Drosophila melanogaster: one gene and its partners. Changing the gene in region 1 together with any one later gene gives a genetic interaction. Each region holds a gene or a part of one and is shown in the gene's direction. Other genes may lie near its edges. The genes, in order: Dcr-2, Itpr, w and aos.

Evidence for each region.
Region 2: of Dcr-2 (region 1) and Itpr, changing one enhances a phenotype caused by changing the other (phenotypic enhancement), as found in Drosophila melanogaster (one study listed by BioGRID).
Region 3: of Dcr-2 (region 1) and w, changing one suppresses a phenotype caused by changing the other (phenotypic suppression), as found in Drosophila melanogaster (3 studies listed by BioGRID).
Region 4: of Dcr-2 (region 1) and aos, changing one enhances a phenotype caused by changing the other (phenotypic enhancement), as found in Drosophila melanogaster (2 studies listed by BioGRID).

What each region holds. Positions count from the first base shown.
Region 1 is NT_033778.4:17,575,510-17,583,230, reverse strand, and holds the start of Dcr-2 (Dicer-2), read left to right. Parts: upstream 1-1,705; 5' UTR 1,706-1,804; coding exon 1,805-1,825; intron 1,826-1,885; coding exon 1,886-2,016; intron 2,017-2,137; coding exon 2,138-2,315; intron 2,316-2,754; coding exon 2,755-3,062; intron 3,063-3,118; coding exon 3,119-3,815; intron 3,816-3,878; coding exon 3,879-4,436; intron 4,437-4,502; coding exon 4,503-4,677; intron 4,678-4,735; coding exon 4,736-7,721. Other genes in the region: CG6484 (uncharacterized protein), read left to right, coding at 406-1,101.
Region 2 is NT_033777.3:5,515,489-5,520,155, forward strand, and holds the start of Itpr (inositol 1,4,5,-trisphosphate receptor), read left to right. Parts: upstream 1-1,628; 5' UTR 1,629-2,400; intron 2,401-4,667. Other genes in the region: Nmdar1 (NMDA receptor 1), read right to left, coding at 530-652, 724-900. UniProt on the Drosophila melanogaster protein: Receptor for inositol 1,4,5-trisphosphate, a second messenger that mediates the release of intracellular calcium. Together with MCU, has a role in oxidative stress-induced ER-mitochondria calcium transfer.
Region 3 is NC_004354.4:2,790,437-2,798,056, reverse strand, and holds w (white), read left to right. Parts: upstream 1-1,590; 5' UTR 1,591-1,748; coding exon 1,749-1,820; intron 1,821-4,928; coding exon 4,929-5,202; intron 5,203-5,276; coding exon 5,277-5,931; intron 5,932-5,992; coding exon 5,993-6,308; intron 6,309-6,511; coding exon 6,512-6,643; intron 6,644-6,713; coding exon 6,714-7,328; 3' UTR 7,329-7,458; downstream 7,459-7,620. UniProt on the Drosophila melanogaster protein: ATP-dependent transporter of the ATP-binding cassette (ABC) family which transports various molecules including bioamines, neurotransmitters, metabolic intermediates and second messengers.
Region 4 is NT_037436.4:16,480,612-16,485,368, reverse strand, and holds the start of aos (argos), read left to right. Parts: upstream 1-1,718; 5' UTR 1,719-2,292; coding exon 2,293-2,688; intron 2,689-4,757. UniProt on the Drosophila melanogaster protein: Regulates cell determination; development of ommatidia and optic lobe. Is a signaling molecule involved in the process of axon pathfinding in the eye. Part of the Ras pathway regulating programmed cell death in pupal eyes; activated by lozenge (lz).

The sequences.
Region 1 (7,721 bases):
TTCCACTAATAATCAATCAATCAATCAAAATCGATCGATATTGAAGGCATAAAGAAACTTTATAAAGGGTTCGCAGGGCTTTAACAGATTTATTACTCTTTCCATTATCACACAATCGGAAGTGATACATACATATACTTACCCTGATAAAAGAAATGTTGTAAATTCAGATAGTATATAATATTTTGTTTTCATTCATTAAGATTTTCAATAACTTGAACCAAGATAGGGTTTGCATTAAACTTAAACGATTTCGTAGTTAAACTACATATGAACACAGGTACGTAATTTGTTTCCATTATTCCATTTAGTAATCAGTGTAGCAGATACTACTTATCATACCTAATAAATACATTGATTTTGGTGAAGATTAGAAAATAATACGTGGTCTTATTTTTATTGCAGGTCAACATTCTGTCCTCCCTTCGTCGACCCATCGTCCTGAAGGGTCTTGGAATCGCTGTGCTCCTGCAGGTCTTCCAGCAGTGGACGGGAATCAACGCCGTTCTCTTCTACTCCGCCTCCATTTTCGAGGATACGGGCTCTGACATAAGTGGCAGCGATGCCACGCTTATCATTGGAGTCACCCAAGTGACCAGCACGCTGGTTGCCGTGGCCATTATCGACAAGGCTGGCCGTCGCATCCTGCTCCTTATCTCTGGCGTTCTGATGGCCGTGTCCACTGCACTGATGGGCGTGTACTTTCAGCTAAAGGAGAACGATCCGGCTTCAATGGACAATTTCGGTTGGTTGCCGATCAGCAGTATCTGCATTTTCATAATCTTCTTCTCGATTGGATTCGGACCGGTGCCGTGGCTGGTGATGGCGGAACTCTTCTCGGAGGATGTGAAGAGTGTGGCAGGATCGATTGCCGGCACCAGCAACTGGCTGTCGGCCTTCGTGGTCACGCTGCTCTTCCCAATCCTCAAGAGCTCGATCGGGCCGGGTCCGACCTTTTGGATCTTTACCGCGATCGCGGTCATCGCCTTCTTCTACTCTCTGTTCTTCGTGCCGGAGACCAAGGGCAAGACAATAATCGAAATCCAGGACCTGCTGTCCGGAGGAAAGGGTGTCAAAAGTGATGACAAGAGCCAGACGTGATGATGTCGCGTAGTCTTAGTCGTAGCGATACTTTTTCATATTCTCCTTAAGCCAATAAGAAAATGTTATGTATAAGAAGTGAAGAGCATAATCAATAAAGTAGAATCACCATGTATATAAACTACCCGATTGAATTTTCGTTCATTTCCGTCAGTGTAGTTCTAATTAGACTCAATTAGTATAATTCTAATTAGTTTGACAAGATTTTAAGTCTTGGAAAAAAATGAGGAAATAAGAAACTTTACTCGTATGGAGGAGGGCTGCAAACGAAGGTCTAAATGATCTAAGGATAGTATGGGTCAAAAAGTGATGTGATATATTCTTAACAATTGGTATTGATTAAGAATTCAAATAATAAATAATTCACGAACTTACACTACCGAAAATGCTTATTATTTTGTTGCAGATTTCGATAAAAATGGAAACGTTTATTATTTCCGGAAGGTATATTATTGGCAGCGAGCATTTCAAAACAAATTTATTTATGTTGCGGTTTGTGGTAATAATTTAAGTTCAAAGAACCGCACTGCGTAGTGTGACCAGTCCGTTTTGAAACACAATTCTTAATACGTTTGACACAAGGCATCTTATAAGAGCCGCTGGCCACTCTGTCACCGGCTTCTTTGTTCTTTAATCGTAAATTATTTGACTTCAAATTGTAATATCAAAATATCCCGAAGACTCTGTAACCAAGAGCGAAGATATGGAAGATGTGGAAATCAAGGTAAAATGAATTGGCTTGCGCTCTCGCTTATTGCAAAATAATTAACAAAATCCTTTCCAGCCTCGCGGCTATCAACTTCGCCTGGTTGACCACCTAACGAAGAGCAATGGCATTGTCTACCTGCCCACAGGATCTGGGAAAACGTTCGTGGCCATCCTGGTCCTAAAGCGCTTCTCGCAGGACTTTGACAAGTTAGTAGCGAATGGATATACATATATATATTATTATATGTATTACCTATATCCGATACTTACATTTATATATATATTATTATATGTAATACCTATATCGGATTCCGATTTGTTTACACAGACCCATCGAAAGCGGCGGAAAGCGTGCGTTGTTCATGTGCAATACTGTGGAATTGGCCCGACAACAGGCGATGGCCGTCAGGCGGTGCACCAACTTTAAGGTTGGCTTTTATGTGGGTGAACAGGGAGTGGATGACTGGACGCGCGGAATGTGGAGTGATGAAATCAAAAAAAACCAAGTGAGTATAGGATGGCGGAGGCATTTTTTATATACGCATATGATCACGTACGGACTAAACACTACACTACCACTACACACTGCAATTGCGATCACCACTTGAGTCGAAAAATTTGGGATCAGCATTTTTATGGGCTCGTAAGGGGTCGTGTTTTGCTAAGCCATCACAAAATCATCATTTCGTCAATTGATGTATTTTATTTGTTTTTTTTTTTTTTTGTAGTATGTTTATTTGTTTATTTATTTATTTTATTTGTTTATTTAAAATTAACTTGAGTTTGTGGATTGTTCTGGATCATCGAGTAGTAGATTTGATGGTCATTTTTATTACATTGAATTCATGTTAGACTTTTCAGTGTAATTCGAGGAATATTTATAGTTAATAATAATACACTGCTTCCAGAATTAAACCTACATGTGTAATTTTTGGTTCTTAACAGGTTCTTGTTGGCACAGCCCAGGTCTTTTTGGACATGGTCACCCAGACGTACGTGGCTTTAAGCTCCCTGAGCGTTGTCATCATAGACGAGTGCCACCACGGCACTGGTCACCACCCATTTCGTGAGTTCATGCGATTGTTCACTATCGCTAATCAAACAAAATTGCCGCGCGTGGTGGGTCTCACCGGGGTGTTAATCAAGGGAAATGAAATTACGAACGTGGCCACGAAACTTAAAGAGCTAGAGATCACATATCGGGGAAACATCATTACCGTGTCCGACACCAAGGAGATGGAAAACGTGATGCTGTAAGAGCGGGTGGCATTTTAGCTACAGTTTCCCAACAAGTGCATATTCTTTTCAGGTACGCCACCAAGCCCACAGAGGTCATGGTGTCCTTTCCACATCAAGAGCAAGTGCTCACGGTTACAAGGTTAATAAGCGCAGAAATTGAAAAGTTCTATGTATCCTTAGACCTCATGAATATTGGCGTTCAACCGATCCGAAGGTCAAAGTCATTGCAATGCCTGCGGGATCCGTCGAAGAAGAGCTTTGTAAAGCAACTGTTCAACGATTTTCTGTACCAGATGAAAGAGTATGGCATCTACGCAGCTTCCATAGCCATAATCTCGTTAATTGTTGAGTTCGATATAAAGAGGCGCCAGGCCGAGACGCTAAGCGTGAAATTGATGCATAGGACGGCCTTGACCTTGTGCGAGAAAATCCGTCACTTGCTGGTGCAAAAACTGCAAGACATGACTTATGACGACGACGATGACAACGTAAACACTGAGGAAGTCATTATGAACTTCTCCACCCCGAAAGTGCAGCGATTCCTGATGAGTCTTAAGGTATCCTTCGCTGATAAAGATCCCAAAGATATCTGCTGTCTGGTCTTTGTTGAACGCCGCTACACCTGCAAGTGCATCTATGGCTTGCTGCTCAACTACATCCAGTCTACGCCTGAGCTGCGAAACGTGCTCACGCCCCAATTCATGGTGGGCCGCAACAATATTTCTCCAGACTTTGAGAGCGTCTTGGAGAGAAAATGGCAAAAATCTGTAGGTGTGGAAATTATCGTTAATTGCTGATATTTTTCAAAATATGCTCTTACCGTCTCGCAGGCCATTCAGCAGTTTCGGGACGGTAATGCCAATCTTATGATATGTTCAAGCGTCCTAGAAGAAGGCATCGATGTGCAGGCCTGCAATCATGTCTTTATTCTTGATCCTGTTAAAACCTTTAACATGTACGTGCAGTCAAAGGGTCGGGCTCGTACCACTGAGGCCAAATTCGTGCTGTTCACAGCTGATAAGGAAAGGGAAAAGACAATTCAGCAAATTTATCAGTATCGAAAAGCGCATAATGACATTGCCGAATATTTAAAGGATCGAGTTCTAGAAAAAACTGAGCCAGAATTGTACGAAATCAAAGGGCACTTCCAGGACGATATTGACCCTTTTACCAATGAGAACGGTGCCGTGTTGCTTCCCAACAATGCCCTGGCCATACTGCATCGCTATTGCCAGACAATTCCCACGGATGCTTTTGGCTTTGTGATCCCCTGGTTCCATGTATTGCAAGAAGACGAACGTGATAGAATATTTGGTGTTTCTGCCAAGGGCAAGCACGTAATTTCAATCAACATGCCAGTAAATTGCATGCTAAGAGACACAATTTACGTAAGCTAGAGATTCAGATTGAAAATGGCAAAATCAAATAGAGTTAATTGCTTTCATTTCTTTCAGAGCGATCCCATGGACAATGTTAAAACAGCCAAAATATCAGCTGCCTTCAAAGCGTGTAAAGTACTCTACAGTTTGGGAGAGTTAAACGAGAGATTCGTGCCCAAAACATTAAAGGAGCGCGTAGCCTCTATTGCTGATGTTCATTTTGAGCACTGGAATAAGTATGGCGATAGTGGTGGGTTCACAAGAACTCGCATAAGATATGTTTACTTATATTAATCTTTCAACCATAGTGACTGCGACAGTCAACAAGGCCGATAAGAGCAAGGACAGAACCTACAAGACCGAATGTCCATTAGAGTTTTACGACGCACTTCCGCGGGTAGGTGAAATCTGTTATGCCTACGAAATATTTTTGGAGCCGCAGTTTGAATCGTGTGAGTACACGGAACACATGTATTTAAATCTCCAAACACCAAGAAATTATGCTATATTGCTGCGGAACAAGCTGCCACGCCTTGCAGAGATGCCCCTGTTTAGCAATCAGGGTAAGCTACACGTTCGAGTGGCCAATGCACCACTTGAAGTAATTATCCAGAACTCCGAACAGCTGGAGCTGCTCCATCAGTTTCACGGAATGGTATTCCGCGATATCTTGAAGATTTGGCATCCGTTCTTTGTGCTGGATCGTCGCAGCAAGGAGAACTCCTACCTGGTAGTTCCTCTCATACTGGGTGCGGGTGAACAGAAATGCTTTGACTGGGAACTGATGACCAACTTCCGAAGACTACCGCAAAGTCATGGGTCAAATGTACAGCAACGCGAGCAACAACCTGCTCCACGTCCTGAAGATTTTGAGGGCAAAATTGTTACACAATGGTATGCCAACTATGATAAGCCCATGCTGGTCACAAAGGTGCACCGTGAGCTAACACCGTTAAGTTATATGGAAAAGAACCAACAGGACAAGACCTACTACGAGTTTACCATGTCAAAGTACGGCAACCGCATTGGTGATGTTGTTCACAAGGATAAGTTTATGATCGAGGTCAGAGACCTTACGGAACAGCTCACTTTCTACGTTCATAATCGTGGAAAGTTCAACGCGAAGAGCAAGGCTAAGATGAAAGTTATTTTGATTCCGGAGCTATGCTTCAATTTTAACTTTCCTGGGGATTTATGGCTTAAGTTGATCTTCCTACCCAGCATTTTAAACCGCATGTACTTCCTTCTCCACGCAGAGGCCTTACGTAAGCGATTTAATACGTATTTAAACCTCCATCTGCTGCCTTTTAATGGAACTGATTACATGCCCAGACCACTAGAAATTGATTATTCGCTAAAGCGGAATGTCGACCCCTTGGGCAATGTCATACCAACTGAGGATATCGAGGAGCCGAAATCCCTTTTAGAGCCAATGCCCACAAAGTCCATTGAGGCGTCCGTGGCCAATCTTGAAATAACAGAATTCGAAAATCCCTGGCAAAAGTATATGGAGCCGGTTGATCTGTCGCGAAATCTTTTGAGTACGTATCCCGTAGAGCTGGACTACTACTATCATTTTAGCGTTGGTAATGTATGTGAGATGAATGAGATGGATTTTGAAGATAAGGAATACTGGGCAAAAAATCAGTTCCATATGCCCACGGGTAATATCTATGGCAACAGAACTCCGGCCAAGACTAACGCAAACGTGCCAGCTTTGATGCCGTCGAAACCGACTGTCCGCGGGAAGGTAAAACCACTGCTCATTTTGCAAAAAACTGTTTCCAAAGAACATATAACGCCAGCGGAGCAGGGCGAGTTTTTGGCTGCAATCACTGCCTCGAGCGCAGCGGATGTTTTCGACATGGAACGCCTTGAGATTCTGGGCGATTCCTTCTTAAAACTTAGTGCCACGCTCTACTTGGCCAGCAAGTATTCGGATTGGAATGAGGGCACTCTTACAGAGGTCAAATCCAAGCTTGTGTCTAATCGTAACCTGTTGTTCTGCCTCATCGACGCGGACATTCCCAAAACGCTCAACACCATTCAGTTTACGCCTAGATACACATGGCTTCCACCTGGCATCAGTTTGCCCCACAATGTTCTAGCCTTGTGGCGAGAAAATCCGGAATTCGCAAAGATTATTGGCCCACACAATCTCCGTGACTTGGCTCTCGGCGATGAGGAGTCCCTGGTGAAGGGCAACTGCAGCGATATCAACTACAACCGCTTCGTGGAGGGATGTCGAGCAAATGGGCAGTCCTTTTATGCCGGTGCCGATTTTTCATCCGAGGTGAACTTCTGCGTGGGACTGGTCACGATTCCCAACAAGGTGATAGCCGATACCCTTGAGGCGCTATTGGGCGTAATCGTTAAGAACTACGGATTGCAGCATGCCTTCAAGATGCTAGAGTACTTCAAGATTTGCCGTGCGGATATTGACAAGCCGCTTACTCAGTTACTGAACCTCGAACTGGGCGGCAAGAAAATGCGGGCGAACGTGAATACTACAGAAATTGACGGCTTTCTCATAAATCACTATTATTTGGAAAAAAATCTTGGCTACACGTTTAAGGATCGACGATATTTGTTGCAGGCCCTCACCCATCCCTCGTATCCCACTAATCGCATCACTGGGTCCTATCAGGAGCTGGAATTTATTGGCGATGCCATACTCGACTTTCTAATCTCTGCCTATATTTTCGAGAACAATACGAAAATGAATCCGGGCGCCCTCACAGATCTGCGTTCCGCTTTGGTCAACAATACTACGCTGGCCTGCATTTGCGTGCGGCATCGGTTGCACTTTTTTATCCTAGCGGAGAACGCAAAGCTCTCCGAGATCATATCCAAATTCGTGAATTTCCAGGAGAGCCAGGGTCACCGGGTTACCAACTATGTGCGCATTCTGCTCGAGGAAGCTGATGTTCAGCCGACTCCGCTGGACTTGGATGACGAATTGGATATGACTGAGTTACCGCATGCAAATAAATGCATTTCTCAGGAAGCAGAGAAAGGAGTCCCACCAAAAGGTGAGTTCAACATGTCCACAAACGTGGATGTGCCAAAGGCGTTGGGGGATGTTCTGGAGGCCCTTATTGCAGCCGTATACCTGGACTGCCGAGATCTCCAACGTACTTGGGAGGTAATTTTCAATCTCTTCGAGCCGGAGCTTCAGGAGTTCACGCGCAAAGTGCCCATCAATCATATACGACAGCTCGTTGAGCACAAGCATGCGAAGCCCGTGTTTAGCTCGCCCATCGTCGAAGGGGAAACTGTAATGGTTAGTTGTCA
Region 2 (4,667 bases), on another chromosome or scaffold:
TATTTCATTTGAATGGTTCTTTACATTTGTACCCAGTTTGTAATATTATATATTTTTATTTAGAATAAGTGACAAATAAGTACCGATAATACTTTAATGTTGCCAAATAGTAGACAATATTGTAAATCACTTAGCTCAACTAAAGACCATCAATAATTAAAAAGATAATTATGATTATAAATCTTAGCTTTCTAATAACCAAACCCCTACAAACTCCTTCTATATATCATTCTGCAAACCTGGTTCATAACAACAAAACGCATTTAAAGTAATATTGTATAATTATAGTTCAATTTGCACATTTAAGCACTCTTTCGCTCTAAGAGCTCCAGTTGGTTAGCTCATGGATATTGGATTCTGCTGGCGCATTACCGCTTGTCATCATCCCATTTCCGAATCATTTCCCCTTAAATTATGGAAATGAATCGAACCAGGTCGGGTTAAACACAGATACGAGTATGTGAGCAGCTTCAAGCGATGGAGGAATGGTCGGAAATGAGCAGGTAATTGCATTTGGCCACCGACTTACCCGATTCTCGATGAGCTTGTCGCACACATTGAAGACCGTCTTGATGGGATTCTTGTCCATGCGGATGGTTTTGTCGTAGTAGGTGACCTTCCGCGGCACATACTGCTGATCGAAGTTGAGGTGCTGCGGTTGGATGGGAAAGCGTGATTATCGCATTCGGATTAGTGGAGCATCCAGTTAGTCAATGGGCTTGCCTTTATTGTGGTGCTAAAGTGCTCCTCGCTGTCGGAATTGCTCAGTACGCCGCCAATGTTGTACGTCGAGGGATTATCCGAGGCAGTGTGCCTCTGGGCGGCATCAATTGGCGCCACCAGGAGAACAATGGCGAGCCCAAACAATGGCCGGCAAAAAACAAACTCAGCCATAGCCATGATGCGGAAGTCTATAGTTTCTGGGGGAGGATAAACGAGGTGTTTTGTGCAACGATTTCAATGGTTTCTCGAGCAAACATCCAGCATTTTCTGCAAGTCGAAAAGGGGAGATGCCGCATATTAATGGCATTTTCCATTTCCCATTGCAGCAATGAGAATGGTCAAAGACAAGATTTCTTAAAGTTTATTTTGCTCATTTTTGAAAAAGCAGAACTTTGAATTCGCGGTGTTTTCTTACATATGTGGTAATGCCAGATCGCGAAAAAATGAATACCAACGCAAGATCGTTAGAGTGACCATTTCATTGTGTTAATAGGCATTAGAAGCAAAATCTAAGTATGTGAGTCGATGAGTGGAAAGATTTTAATCCTCGGCCAATCTATCAACATTGATCTGGAATTTTCAAGCACAGATGACTAAAAAACTATGAATATTTGAATAAGATTCAAATCTCTACCCTGTGCTGCCATGCTAACTAGTATTTAGAGTATGTTAGTATTTTATCCATGCGCTCCCATCTAATTTATCATATGGTTGGTTCTGCGGTTTTCAAACACTTGCTTATGTCATTCCTTGTCAATAGTAAATGCAATTAACGTGTTACTGTCAATAATTCTATATATGTGTGCATAAAACAGTTAAGATGTCAATTACACCATTTATTAACGGCTAACTAGTATTTTTCGCGCGGTCACACTAATCGATCATATGGTTCGACGGTTTTTAAACACTTGTTGCTCGACCGCGCTTTCAGTCGGACGTGTTTTCGCTGGGGTTTTCCGCGTCGGTCCGCCTTATCTGCGCTGCGCTGGCACTTCGTTGGAGTGAGGGAGACGGAGGAGCTGAGCGGTACGGTACACGAAGTCGCGCATGACGCGGCGCTCTGGAAAATTGCATTTTCATACGCCTTGAGCGCGTAATTTATGCCCGAAATGCTGGCCAATTTCAATTTGTTGGCCTAAACGCGACGTGCGTGTGTGGGTGTGTGTGCGTGATTGGGAAAAGTGCGTAGAAATCGACAATCGTTTTGTTTGCCCGCGCTGCTGCTGCGCTGCGACTGCGCTGCTTGTGGGTGGTCAACGGGATCGTGGGGTCGGGAGAGCCGATTGTTGACGTTGTATCGCATGCTGCCTCTCTTTCCCGCAGCCGGAATTGTTTGTCGCGTGTTTTAACGGTTATTTCTTATTGACAAAACCTCCTCTGCCGACGTCGCTGCCCCGGCATTGTTATTGTTATTGTGTGTGGTTTCTGGGCCTTCTTCTTCCTCCTCACCGTATTCCCACTTATTGTTATTCTCTCTTTTCCGCGGCTAAGTGCGGCCCACTCAAGGTGAAAATATATTAAGTTCTTTCGAGTGCCCGCGAGTGTTTGCATTTGAATAAAATAAATATAAAGTCAAATTCGATTTACGATCGTCGTCTATCGACGGATGATTCAATACCAATCACAATACAGTAGCACATCTCTACAAGGGATATTTTACATTACATACATTCTACGGTGAGTATCCCACGACAACGACAACGACAACCTGTTGCCAATCGAGCCCAGTTACTGGTTTTTCTGGTTTCCCGAAGGGCTTGCCACCAATTTAAGTAGGTCATAAGGCAATAAGCCTATCACGACCGAACCGATAGGCTAATTACCGCGATAGCTATTATCTAGCAGTCACGCCCTCGCCTTTTGATCCCACTTGATTTTGATTTCGTTCTTGCCTCTTGCTTTCGCTCAATAATTGACAATAAGCCAAAGCGAAAGGGCCAGAAATGCGCTGAGATTCAATTACGTTGCAGTGGCCACTATTTGTTGCTTACACGAATAGAAAAGCTAAGGAAAAAACATATAAATCCCACTGATTGAAGACATTTGCTTATCGGGGGTATGGTTCTATGCCAGCTACTCAAACAAAATATAAATAAATCCTTAGGGAATCAACTCCGAAGTCAAGTGTTGATTTCAACTCAAGCCACTATGTATATGAACGTGATGCTTTCCAAAATTGTTTTGTGGTGAGAGGGATTGTTTGTTGTTATACAAAAATTCTTCAAATGGGAGTGTTTAAGAATTATAATGACGAAGTAACATAGTCATAATTAAAACTCGTATTTACTCGTAGAGTGAAAGGGTATACCGGATACATATATTATTGATCAGATCGAGATTTCGGGATCTATAAAATCTAGATGTGCAAGTTTAATTCACAACGTCCGCGCCCACTCTAACGCCCACAAACCGTTCAAAACAGTCACGCCCACAGTTTCGAGAAAAGTTTGGATTTTTTTAATCCTAATATTTCTTTGTCAGTTCCTAAAGTTATGCAAATCACTTTTGGAAATTTCTCACTTGACGTCCTCTGAACTGAATGCATCTGCGTTCGAGAAAATCAACTTAGCGCCGATATTTTCTCTCAGTGCACACATCTTGATTGCAGACAGCGGAAAAGAGAGAGAGAGCGAAAGGGAGAGAGAGAAAGAGAGATGCTGACTGGGCGACGCGTGCTTAATTAAGCGCCACATTGTTGTTGGTGTTGACTGGGCAGGTGGCGAGCTATAGAGTAAGAGGCAAGATGAGGGATACCAAAAAAGATGGGGGAGGGGGATGAAAAGTGGACGTGTTGAGCCTGCTGCACGCGATGATTTCCATTACCTGGGGTAAAAAAATGGCTTTTCATCGCCAAATTCCTCTCTGGCCAAGTTTTTTTGTTGCGATTGAAAGAGCGCACTTCACTACTTCTTGATTTGCATGTAATCATGATTGGGTTAATGGGCCTATGATCACACAATTACGATCAATTATATTCACATTATAATGTCGAACAAATTACTAAATTATACAATCAATGGGACCAATAGATAGTATGTGCAGTGAGTTTCATTTATTGAAGATAACCAGTCAATTGAGATGTCATTTGCGGGTACTTTGATCAACCGGCTAGAAAATGTACATATATATTCTAATTTTTAAACGCTAGTTCGGTATAGTATTAAAATTTTTTTGATTATTATGTTTTTGTGCAATTATATATGTATATTTAAAAAAAAAAGTTGGAACTTGACAACTATTTTCTCTTTAACCACGATTCAGATGTCATCAATTTTAATATAAAGAGTTAAAAAATTCACAATTTGTTTTTGTTATTCTCTCAGAATCCCTCAACTGTAGTTGATAATTCTCCAAAAGTTGTCGTATAATTGCATTTGACATACTGATAACGTTTGTGCATGATTTTTAATCAATAAATTTTACCAACCAGCCAAATTTGTTCAGTTTTGCCACTTGTCACCATTTAAACAAACTGACCACAAAGATATTACATTAAATAAATAAAACACATTGAAGATTCTCAGGTATGCTTATTTTTTTGACCACAATCGTGTGTTTGCTCCAATTTATGTGGGCTTGCCATGAGCATGTGCATAATTCGAAGCTGAATTGAGCAGCTGGTGGGGATTTTGTGGAAGGGGGGGCGGTAAAGTGGCCGGGGTTGGCGCCTGGGAGCGCCAGCAATTAACATAAACAGGCAAATTGTGTAAGCGACATTCTGGAGCTGCAAATAAAATATAAGCGCCCGCCCCCCGCCCATCCGATGTGCACAGCCCACTTGGCTGCAATTATTAAGGGTGTGTGTGTGTTTGTTCGGATGCGGAGGTCGGGTGTTATCAATGAAGCAGACTGGATGAGAAGCAAAGTGTTCTCATCAGCGCCAGTCTGGTGTGATTGTGTGAGTATCTGTGTGCTTCACGTTTTTTCTGCTCAGGTGGGCCGAG
Region 3 (7,620 bases), on another chromosome or scaffold:
AATTGCAGGGCTAATAAGCAAAAATCAAGTTAAGGCCACTCTAAAAAAAATGAACTGCATACTTATACGTATGCAATTAACTTTATTATTGATTTAGAGCGCATAAAAACGGCAAACTAATTAATTACAGCATTCCCTTAGAGCATTTCATAATCGGTTTTAAGCACTTTTTGTTGTAATGCCATTTTTCAGCTCTTTCGCTGCTGCGACAGGCGAGTGACAATAAATTGTTAAGTGCAAAAAGTTTACAGCATTTGAGTGAGTTAGTAATGGCAAACACACACGAACACGAACTTCAAGACGGTCTAAACCCGATTCGAGCTCCACTCAACCAACATCGAAGAAGCCCCATAAGTGTCACTGAGCGAAAAACTCGGTTAGTTGGCAAAAATGAGTGAAACATTGACGTTTCTTTGTTGTCTGTCGCTAGATCGGCCCACAAAGGAAGTCTCTTACGAATCGTACATACATCTAACTTTGAGTCAGCTAAAGATCTTCAGTGAAATAGGAAAATCATTTATTTCGAACTTTGAAGCTGTTGTAGAGCAGAACATATATGCATTAAAACTGGCACATGAAATAATGTTACTAGTGCTGAGTGAGACTTCTACAAATATCACATGCATATGCATAATTAACTTGCAAATCGAATCAAAAGCTATTATTCTGAGCTAAACTCTCAAAAGAAAACCATATTCATTTGAAGACCACTTAATCGTCGTCAGCAAATTAATTCCTGCAGATTCCTCGGCAACTGCAACTGCTAACCTGTTACCACATCGTCCGTGAAAATGGTATTGATAGCCTCCCGGAAAACCCGTCCCAGTCGAGATCCATATCCTGGACCAACTGGCCCCGATGATGAAGATTGATAATGCCCGGACAGCTGATGGCGGCAGTTCATGATTCCGGGGCCTGAGATGAGGTGCTAACGATGACGACAACGACCGGAGTGTCCGAAGTACGGGTGCGGATAGGCGTACGGGAAACGGGGAGTGCGGAATGCGCATCATCAACAGTCGCCGTTTGATAAATCATGCATGCAAAGTACAGTGCAAACCCCCGAAACGGGACGACAACAGGCGGATTAACAAGAACTCTCTTATTCACGATAAGAAGACGCTTCCCACTCAACCTAATCAGTATTCAAAGACAGCCACTCAGCTTATGAGTACTGCCCAGGTGGGGTACTATCATATTGGTGCAAAGGTGGTCGAATTTTTAATTATTTTGAACGGAACACATTAGCTAAACATAAACATGTTGTCACTAGTATGTATGTAAGTTAATAAAACCCATTTTTGCGGAAAGTAGATAAAAAAAACATTTTTTTTTTTTACTGCACTGGATATCATTGAACTTATCTGATCAGTTTTAAATTTACTTCGATCCAAGGGTATTTGATGTACCAGGTTCTTTCGATTACCTCTCACTCAAAATGACATTCCACTCAAAGTCAGCGCTGTTTGCCTCCTTCTCTGTCCACAGAAATATCGCCGTCTCTTTCGCCGCTGCGTCCGCTATCTCTTTCGCCACCGTTTGTAGCGTTACGTAGCGTCAATGTCCGCCTTCAGTTGCATTTTGTCAGCGGTTTCGTGACGAAGCTCCAAGCGGTTTACGCCATCAATTAAACACAAAGTGCTGTGCCAAAACTCCTCTCGCTTCTTATTTTTGTTTGTTTTTTGAGTGATTGGGGTGGTGATTGGTTTTGGGTGGGTAAGCAGGGGAAAGTGTGAAAAATCCCGGCAATGGGCCAAGAGGATCAGGAGCTATTAATTCGCGGAGGCAGCAAACACCCATCTGCCGAGCATCTGAACAATGTGAGTAGTACATGTGCATACATCTTAAGTTCACTTGATCTATAGGAACTGCGATTGCAACATCAAATTGTCTGCGGCGTGAGAACTGCGACCCACAAAAATCCCAAACCGCAATTGCACAAACAAATAGTGACACGAAACAGATTATTCTGGTAGCTGTTCTCGCTATATAAGACAATTTTTGAGATCATATCATGATCAAGACATCTAAAGGCATTCATTTTCGACTATATTCTTTTTTACAAAAAATATAACAACCAGATATTTTAAGCTTACCATGAAGTCCTCATTTCTTCCACCTTTCATTCTCAAATATTTTCTTGCTACACTACACTACACTACACTACATTATACATCGACCCCAAATAGTTGGATGTAGTAGATCGTAATTAGGGACGCATAACCAGTGGTGGCGTGGGAGGAGTCGGCTTAAGTTGGCCAACAACATTGCTGGGTGTCTATAACTCTAGGCTTGCCAAGATACTAGATACTGTATCCGTATCCATTTCTGGTTGTGTACTCGCATCTTCTACCTGATCTTAATACCTCGTTGTTTGCACGTCTCGCTCGACGAAAAATGTACAATCTAGTCTTATCTGGGTCATTATTTGGCTAGACGAATGCTTTGGGCTCAGCATCTGATATCTAGGTATCTTCGTGCGTATCTTGCTTTAAATTCTTAGCACCTCGGCTTGTATAACAAAATAAATAAGTGAGTACGATTTGCATATCTAGCCCCGGGCTCTTTGAAACAATTTTGAAAAGTCTCAAAAAGTTATACAAGGAGATAAGAACTTTAATTCTTTTGGGAAGTAAGTAACGCAGTAAAGGTAACAAAGTATTGAAAAATATGATATGTATGGAATATTTGAAGCCATCTTTAATTATATGTTCGTTGCATATATGTACATATTGGGCCGTTTACGCTCTGATATTTCCTTAATAATATCGAGTGGTCGTCAGCTTTTCCGCTGAATAATTGCGCCTCCTTCAGTATTTCGTTCTCATCAAAGTGAATGACTTTTGAGTGCACTCATTAGCCACTCGCACAATCGACAAAACGGGAGGAACAACAAATTGAGTCGCTTCTTTATTCAGTCATTTCAATTTGTCAAGTTCATCACGATACTCCTTCGCCTCCCTGCACAGCGCCATCTAGCGCCCACTCCTCGAGTTTCCTTCGTATTTCGTAAGTAATTCAAAAATAGCACGCAAAGTAAATAAAAAAAAAAGTAAGCCAAAAAATTAAATAAATATGAAATGTAGCATCTTTCGCTACTTATTTCAACAAAATACGAAAATAGGGAAAAGGTGGGAGAGTAAACCAGAGGAGGCAGGGAGATAAGAAAACCCAGTGGGAAAGGGACGGCGAAAACAGAAAAGAAAAGAAAACTTTTTAATAACATTTTTCGGCCTCATTTGTTGTGAAAACAATTTCGCCATGTCCCTCTATCTCTTTCCCAGCCATATGGCCATCTCGCTCTGCTCGAGGAGTGCCTGAAAACGGATATTACATTTTTTCGCGTCTACCTCTCGTAACGTCACCAATTGTGCTTTTTTTTTGGTAACAGGCCAAAAACTGGACACTGAGTGGCTAGAAGAATAAGCTGTCAAAGCATCGCAGCAGAAGATGAGCAGTGAAGCCTCGCTAAGGAGGAAATGCAACAGTTTTCAGGCTTTGGTCTTTTAGCTAGATTTTATATGTAGCAATGTAAACGATAAATCCAAATCCCCCAATCGTTTTGAAAAATAAATTTAATTTTAAATAGTTCAAAAAATGAAAGTTCTTAGCAGGGCTCACTGTAGCAAGGACCGCCAGGCGCTGAGTGCAAGGTGGACATTATTTTTTCTTGCTTTTATTGAATGTCAGCTTTTTATTTGGCCCTCTTCTTCGGATTTTGCCTTTCTCATTTGCTTGCATTTTTTTGCTTAATTTTTTTTATGATTATTTATACAAATTATTATGAGAGCAGCGGCGGATAAAATGCTTTCCATATTGTGGCCATCATTTTGTCTTGTTTTTTCCATTTTTTTTTTTTTTTGCCTCGACGCCAATTAGTGGATCCCTGTTATTTATGCTTTGCCGCAGGCCGCTGCGATGGCAAGAAACCCCACAAATGGAAAACGGAAAATTGTTTATGAAAATGAAAATATGCGCGAACGGAAGTGGTATGGGGCGAAAAGTTGGGGCGGGGAGGATGGCTTGATTTGACCATACCGCAAACGTCTTCGGTTACCGCCATTTCGAAAAGGGAAGCCCCACCTGGGCGAAAACTGACAGCTCAGTGGTTTTGGAAATCACTTTACCCGTAAACAAAATAACGTAAATAAGAATTTGTATTTCGGATTTATAAACTTAAACTCAATTGCAGAAGTAGTAGTTTGAACACTATTGCGTTCAACATAATTGGATCAAGTAAATGGACTGCTTTATACTGCTCATTGCACTTATCTACAAGAGATTGAGTTTTCCCACCACCCAAAAAAAGCCAAAGTATCCTTAAAGTTTTATATTTAATAAAAACAAAACTGGCGAAGCTCAAAGTCCCCAAACGAAAGCCAAAGATGCCAGCGATTTACACTCGCAATTGTCTTATGAGGTGGCAACATGGTGGAGGAACCTTGCCACTGCCACCACCCATCGTCCCATCGCCCCATCGTCCATCGCCCAACGACCTGTGACCCCGTCAACCGTCCACCGCCCACTTTCAAGGCCATCCACCAAGTGCCAGCCCTAATTTGCACATTTTAAATAGGCCTCGCCATCTCCTTTTTGGGAAACTTGGAAAACTCGGATCTTGGGCATTTTTATTAAACAGATGGGCTCCTTCTTTATAAAGCCGAGGGGGGGGGGGGGGGTTAGTGCCCGGAAACAGGGACGGCGGAGCAGGGATTGGCCAGGCTGGGCTAGATTTATGCACAGACGCCTTCATTTTTATGGACGAACGCCGTGAAATTGAAAAGTTTTCAGCTTGAAACCTTTTCTAGATGCACAAAAAATAAATAAAAGTATAAACCTACTTCGTAGGATACTTCGGGGTACTTTTTGTTCGGGGTTAGATGAGCATAACGCTTGTAGTTGATATTTGAGATCCCCTATCATTGCAGGGTGACAGCGGAGCGGCTTCGCAGAGCTGCATTAACCAGGGCTTCGGGCAGGCCAAAAACTACGGCACGCTCCGGCCACCCAGTCCGCCGGAGGACTCCGGTTCAGGGAGCGGCCAACTAGCCGAGAACCTCACCTATGCCTGGCACAATATGGACATCTTTGGGGCGGTCAATCAGCCGGGCTCCGGATGGCGGCAGCTGGTCAACCGGACACGCGGACTATTCTGCAACGAGCGACACATACCGGCGCCCAGGAAACATTTGCTCAAGAACGGTGAGTTTCTATTCGCAGTCGGCTGATCTGTGTGAAATCTTAATAAAGGGTCCAATTACCAATTTGAAACTCAGTTTGCGGCGTGGCCTATCCGGGCGAACTTTTGGCCGTGATGGGCAGTTCCGGTGCCGGAAAGACGACCCTGCTGAATGCCCTTGCCTTTCGATCGCCGCAGGGCATCCAAGTATCGCCATCCGGGATGCGACTGCTCAATGGCCAACCTGTGGACGCCAAGGAGATGCAGGCCAGGTGCGCCTATGTCCAGCAGGATGACCTCTTTATCGGCTCCCTAACGGCCAGGGAACACCTGATTTTCCAAGCCATGGTGCGGATGCCACGACATCTGACCTATCGGCAGCGAGTGGCCCGCGTGGATCAGGTGATCCAGGAGCTTTCGCTCAGCAAATGTCAGCACACGATCATCGGTGTGCCCGGCAGGGTGAAAGGTCTGTCCGGCGGAGAAAGGAAGCGTCTGGCATTCGCCTCCGAGGCTCTAACCGATCCGCCGCTTCTGATCTGCGATGAGCCCACCTCCGGACTGGACTCCTTTACCGCCCACAGCGTCGTCCAGGTGCTGAAGAAGCTGTCGCAGAAGGGCAAGACCGTCATCCTGACCATTCATCAGCCGTCTTCCGAGCTGTTTGAGCTCTTTGACAAGATCCTTCTGATGGCCGAGGGCAGGGTAGCTTTCTTGGGCACTCCCAGCGAAGCCGTCGACTTCTTTTCCTAGTGAGTTCGATGTGTTTATTAAGGGTATCTAGTATTACATAACATCTCAACTCCTATCCAGCGTGGGTGCCCAGTGTCCTACCAACTACAATCCGGCGGACTTTTACGTACAGGTGTTGGCCGTTGTGCCCGGACGGGAGATCGAGTCCCGTGATCGGATCGCCAAGATATGCGACAATTTTGCCATTAGCAAAGTAGCCCGGGATATGGAGCAGTTGTTGGCCACCAAAAATCTGGAGAAGCCACTGGAGCAGCCGGAGAATGGGTACACCTACAAGGCCACCTGGTTCATGCAGTTCCGGGCGGTCCTGTGGCGATCCTGGCTGTCGGTGCTCAAGGAACCACTCCTCGTAAAAGTGCGACTTATTCAGACAACGGTGAGTGGTTCCAGTGGAAACAAATGATATAACGCTTACAATTCTTGGAAACAAATTCGCTAGATTTTAGATAGAATTGCCTGATTCCACACCCTTCTTAGTTTTTTTCAATGAGATGTATAGTTTATAGTTTTGCAGAAGATAAATAAATTTCATTTAACTCGCGAATATTAATGAGATGCGAGTAACATTTTAATTTGCAGATGGTTGCCATCTTGATTGGCCTCATCTTTTTGGGCCAACAACTCACGCAAGTGGGTGTGATGAATATCAACGGAGCCATCTTCCTCTTCCTGACCAACATGACCTTTCAAAACGTCTTTGCCACGATAAATGTAAGTCATGTTTAGAATACATTTGCATTTCAATAATTTACTAACTTTCTAATGAATCGATTCGATTTAGGTGTTCACCTCAGAGCTGCCAGTTTTTATGAGGGAGGCCCGAAGTCGACTTTATCGCTGTGACACATACTTTCTGGGCAAAACGATTGCCGAATTGCCGCTTTTTCTCACAGTGCCACTGGTCTTCACGGCGATTGCCTATCCGATGATCGGACTGCGGGCCGGAGTGCTGCACTTCTTCAACTGCCTGGCGCTGGTCACTCTGGTGGCCAATGTGTCAACGTCCTTCGGATATCTAATATCCTGCGCCAGCTCCTCGACCTCGATGGCGCTGTCTGTGGGTCCGCCGGTTATCATACCATTCCTGCTCTTTGGCGGCTTCTTCTTGAACTCGGGCTCGGTGCCAGTATACCTCAAATGGTTGTCGTACCTCTCATGGTTCCGTTACGCCAACGAGGGTCTGCTGATTAACCAATGGGCGGACGTGGAGCCGGGCGAAATTAGCTGCACATCGTCGAACACCACGTGCCCCAGTTCGGGCAAGGTCATCCTGGAGACGCTTAACTTCTCCGCCGCCGATCTGCCGCTGGACTACGTGGGTCTGGCCATTCTCATCGTGAGCTTCCGGGTGCTCGCATATCTGGCTCTAAGACTTCGGGCCCGACGCAAGGAGTAGCCGACATATATCCGAAATAACTGCTTGTTTTTTTTTTTACCATTATTACCATCGTGTTTACTGTTTATTGCCCCCTCAAAAAGCTAATGTAATTATATTTGTGCCAATAAAAACAAGATATGACCTATAGAATACAAGTATTTCCCCTTCGAACATCCCCACAAGTAGACTTTGGATTTGTCTTCTAACCAAAAGACTTACACACCTGCATACCTTACATCAAAAACTCGTTTATCGCTACATAAAACACCGGGATATATTTTTTATATACAAACTTTTCAAATCGCGCGCC
Region 4 (4,757 bases), on another chromosome or scaffold:
GAAAAGGTTAAATGGAACAGGGAAAAGGGAAACCACCTCCAACTAACAATGGCCGCCTTTCAGTTGGAGTTGTCGGTTCTGCTTAATGCTCCTATATCGCCAGCTCTTTCTTGTGTTCTTGTATTGTTGTTGTTTTGGCTATTGTTGTTGTTTCTGGCGCGTCTCAAGGTAACTCGTAAACAAATGAAATCTTATCGGGTTTGGCCCATAAAATTGGCGGGCTTTCTGCCGAACCTCGCGCGTTTTTCGCTTGAACTTCCAAGCTGAAGATGGAGATGAAGATCGTTTCCAGGTCTCTCTCGTACTCTCCATATACACTATCTTGGGGCATTCATATTTTTTTTAGAAGAATATTGAAAGGAATAATCACAAAGGAACAACCCAAACAAAAAAAAAAAGACTAACGAAACAGACTTTTTTGAAAACCTCACAAATTGACAATCAAGTTATCAAAGGCACGCCAAAAATACGAAACTTTTTTTTTAACATTGTTACATTACTTTTACATTATAAATGTATTGTAGTATAAAAATTGGTGTTAAATAAACATTACATTTTCTTGCAACTCTCAAGCATGTATTACTATAAAAGTTTATTGATAGACCCAAATCCATTTAAACTTTATGATCTGTAATTACCAAGGTAATTAGCGGTTTATTAGCCGATTTTATAAGCCAGTTCGCCACTAAAGCTTTGTTTCGAAGGGCATTTAAAGCATCGACTTTAAGCTCGATCTTCCTTTTGTGTTAAACTCTTTTCTGGATTCTTCTCCAGTTGTTCTTTTTTTGGCATGCGCTACAAGAATAAGGCCCAAACATGAAACCATGGCAAAAGGAGAAGGTTGAACGATGAAGGCCAGGAGGAGGCGGCGGCCCAAGTCCAGGTCGTTGTGGCTAAGGCAGGAATTAGTTTCCGGTGCCGTAGTAAAAATGACAAAAACAACACGGCGGCAGCAAAAACGGCCGAAAGGATGCAACGGAAGCGGCAAGAGCCGCTTGGCTGCGAAGTCCCCTTTTAATTTTTTGTTATTTTGTTGTATTTTATTTCGTTGTTGCTTTTGCTTTTGCTTTAAGCCAAGCACGCGAGCCAGAGACACCTTGCCATCCGCTCGCTCTCACCAATACAGCCGCGCTTAGTCACAGATGCATCTCACAGATGCGCGCACGCACACAGGCGCAGCAGCAATGGATGCTGCAACCACCAGCGGAAAAAGGCAGCAACAACATGTTCATTCATTCATATCCAGCCCACTCTCTTTCGTGTTCTCTCACGTTCGGACGCTGCCGCTCATGCACTGGGAACAAATTCGGTTGACCAAATATGTGAAAAGACAACAGTGGGTTCAAAAGACTGCTTTGAATACTTTTTGCGTAACACACTTTCTCTTTTAAAGATTTCGTACTACTTATGATTTTACCTCTTTGTTATAAGATAATAACATTTTTTGTTAGATGTACATATTTATTTGATTGAAAATTTATACTACTTTATAAAAATTCTTATACAACCAATATAATAAATAATTACATTTTATTGAATTGAGAATAATAAACAAATTTTTTTTTTTTTTATATTACTATTAATTTCTCTGTTTAATCGAGCATTTTCTCTCAGTGCACAGACACGCACATACCGGCAGCGACGCGAGCAGCGCACTTCTCTGCCGGCTTCAACGGCTCTCGTTCGCCGCGCGCTGTTCGTTTTTGGATTTTCTGTTTGATCAGTTCGAAAAGTGAGTTGGTCGAGCGAACAACGATAGAGCGAGGGCAGAGTAACCGAGGCGATACGATACGATATAATATAGCATCGGTACCATTGGGTATACGTTCCAGGAGCGAAAGAAAAGACGAAAACGAGACGAGACGAAAGGCCACCGGAGACAGCGACGTCGCGGGTGTTAAGTTACTAAATAGCAAACAGAAACTACCGACCACCGACCGATTGCAGTGAATGAAATATCCAATAATTTCGAGTGACATTCGCCACAAATCAATCGATCGTTCGATTTGAAACCTGATTTGTAGAGTTCGTTTCTGCCAGTGTGTGTGTGCATGTAAGCCATGGGTTCTGGGCGAGCGAGTGAGATAGAGCGAGAACACTGATTCGACTCGATTCGATTCGATTCGATTGGATTTGATTCGAATTCAATTACAAAATTCATTGAGTGTCAATTACAAACCGCAAGAAAACAACACGCACGGAGATTCGGAAAGATCCCAAGATCCAAATACAAGATCCAGATCCAGATTCTCGAACATCCAGAGATCCCAGCCAGAGTCAGAGTCATAAATCATGCCTACGACATTGATGTTGCTGCCGTGCATGCTGCTGTTGCTGCTGACCGCCGCTGCCGTTGCTGTCGGCGGCACGCGACTGCCGCTCGAGGTGTTCGAGATTACGCCGACCACATCCACAGCGGACAAGCACAAGAGTCTGCAGTACACCGTCGTCTACGATGCCAAAGATATTTCAGGAGCAGCGGCAGCAACTGGAGTGGCGAGCAGTACAGTGAAGCCCGCCACCGAGCAACTGACCGTTGTGAGCATTTCCTCCACAGCGGCTGCGGAGAAGGATCTCGCCGAGTCGCGGCGACATGCGCGACAAATGTTGCAGAAACAACAGCAGCATCGCAGCATCATCGGCGGCAAGCACGGCGATCGGGATGTGCGCATCCTCTACCAAGTGGGGGTGAGTAGCTAGCAAGTACTAAATTCATTTGATTAGCCTGGCTAATTGCATGTTTGCATTGATCGGTGGGGCTAAGTAAAAAAGCATAAAATAAAACACAAGGTACCAATGAAACCAACAACTGGCAATGGCAGGTTGCATAATGCAGGCAACAACGTCAGCAGACACCTGTTCAACTGGTTGCCATTTGTAAAATGCCCACGCCAGCGGTATCAACGGCAACAGCAGCATCTACACAGAAAACAATATTGATCGATTAGATAATTTCAGTCAAATTAGGGAAAAGCAGATCGGCTAACGGTCTGCCATACCAATTTATCAAAGAACTCTCAAAACAGTCTCTTATCTTCGGATTTGTAGCTTAATCAATTAATCAGTCAAATGTATTATAGCATAGATATATCTTAAATGTCATCGCGCAAGTCAACCTACGATTTCTTTCTCTGCACAGCAGGTTTTGCAATGCAACTTTTTTGGGCTGGGTCCGAGTTTTAGTTCGTTATTTTTACATATTTTTTTGCTTTTGTTCAGAAAACTCTGTCTATATTTAGCAGCCGCCCTATGGCCATTACACTTGACACCCACAAAACCACTATTCATATATCACCATACGCATATGGCACATTTAATTGCAGCGGCCACACTCGCTCTAGATGAAAAATGAAAGTTGTTTGCAGTCGGAGAGCTCAACACATCAACTGATCTGTCGCATTTGATCAATTAAAGTCGCAATTGCCATACAACCGAACGATATGAGCGATACCAAAACCAATTAGCCGGGCGGGTCAAGAGTTCAATGCTGGCTATTCATGACTAAGCCGACGGTACACCAAAAAGTTCTTGCCGTTATCTTTCCCCTTAAATCCGCTACAATGCGAATTCAGATCATAGGTCACCGCGGTTCCATTGTTCTCACTCCCGATCTGGCCATAAATCAAGTGTCCATTGAGAAAGAGAGGGGCTTGGATCGGTCATATATCATGTATCGTATATCTATTATGTCAAATGTCATACGACAGAACACGCCCTGAAAATCGAATTCTTGCTTGATGTTTCTACGAGGCCGAGGCGTGAAGTATCAACCCAATAGTAATCAAAAGCAAAATATTGACAGCATAACCAAGTCAGCCAAAGGGGCATGGCAGCAAAAAGGTTCGACTTAGAAATACCCTTGCAAAGGATCACTAACTAAGTGTGTAATAATCGGCGAGAAATTACCAATGCAAGGAAATTCTTAACTTTCTATCAGTACATGTGTAACAAGTAATAATCATCAAAACATAATCATGGTATAATTTGTAACTTTATAAAAAGCCCAAGCGTATCCTTAAACTTCTCACCCAAGTAGATAATACCATTTTAACCTTCTTTCAAGCCAAGGCGTTATGGTTCGACTTGGTTCATAATTTTTGTAATCCGAATGCATGCAATAAATTTTGGAACGCATATACATATAAAAAAAAGCATAACAAAGCAGCATCACAACACAACACCTTAAATAGACAAACAAAAAATTGAGCAGAGAATTCCTGTTGTTTGGAAACTTGCAATAAAAACGCCTTATTGGAGAATAGAACACAACGGAATAGATCCACAAAAGGCTGTGAATGAGCAGCCGGAAAGAGAGGCAAATAGCCAAATGGAAAGAGACAGGCGCAGGGGAACGAAAGAGACGGAGGGAGGAAGGAGGCTGGGAGCGAGGGAGATGAAAGTTTATAGAAGAAAACAAAAAGTTCCCATGCTTAAAAGCGCTAAACATTCAGTTCCGGTATTTAAAAACGTTTTCAACAGCCACGACTGAGACGGGGATAGAAGGAGACGGCAACAGCGGGGGGAGGGAGGGAGACGGGTAGACGGGGAAGACCTGAATGAAAGAAAATTCATGAATGAAATACGACCACGACGACTACGAGAAGTCGATGATGATGGTCATAATGACGGTGGTACGGTTTGGTATGGTGTGGTATAATGGGTGAAATGGAGGGGAGTCAGGGGCGCGATGCGGTGGTGCATGTGTGAGTGGCTACACTGAGCAAAGTTCTTTAGTGTATTCAATACTTTAAATCGAT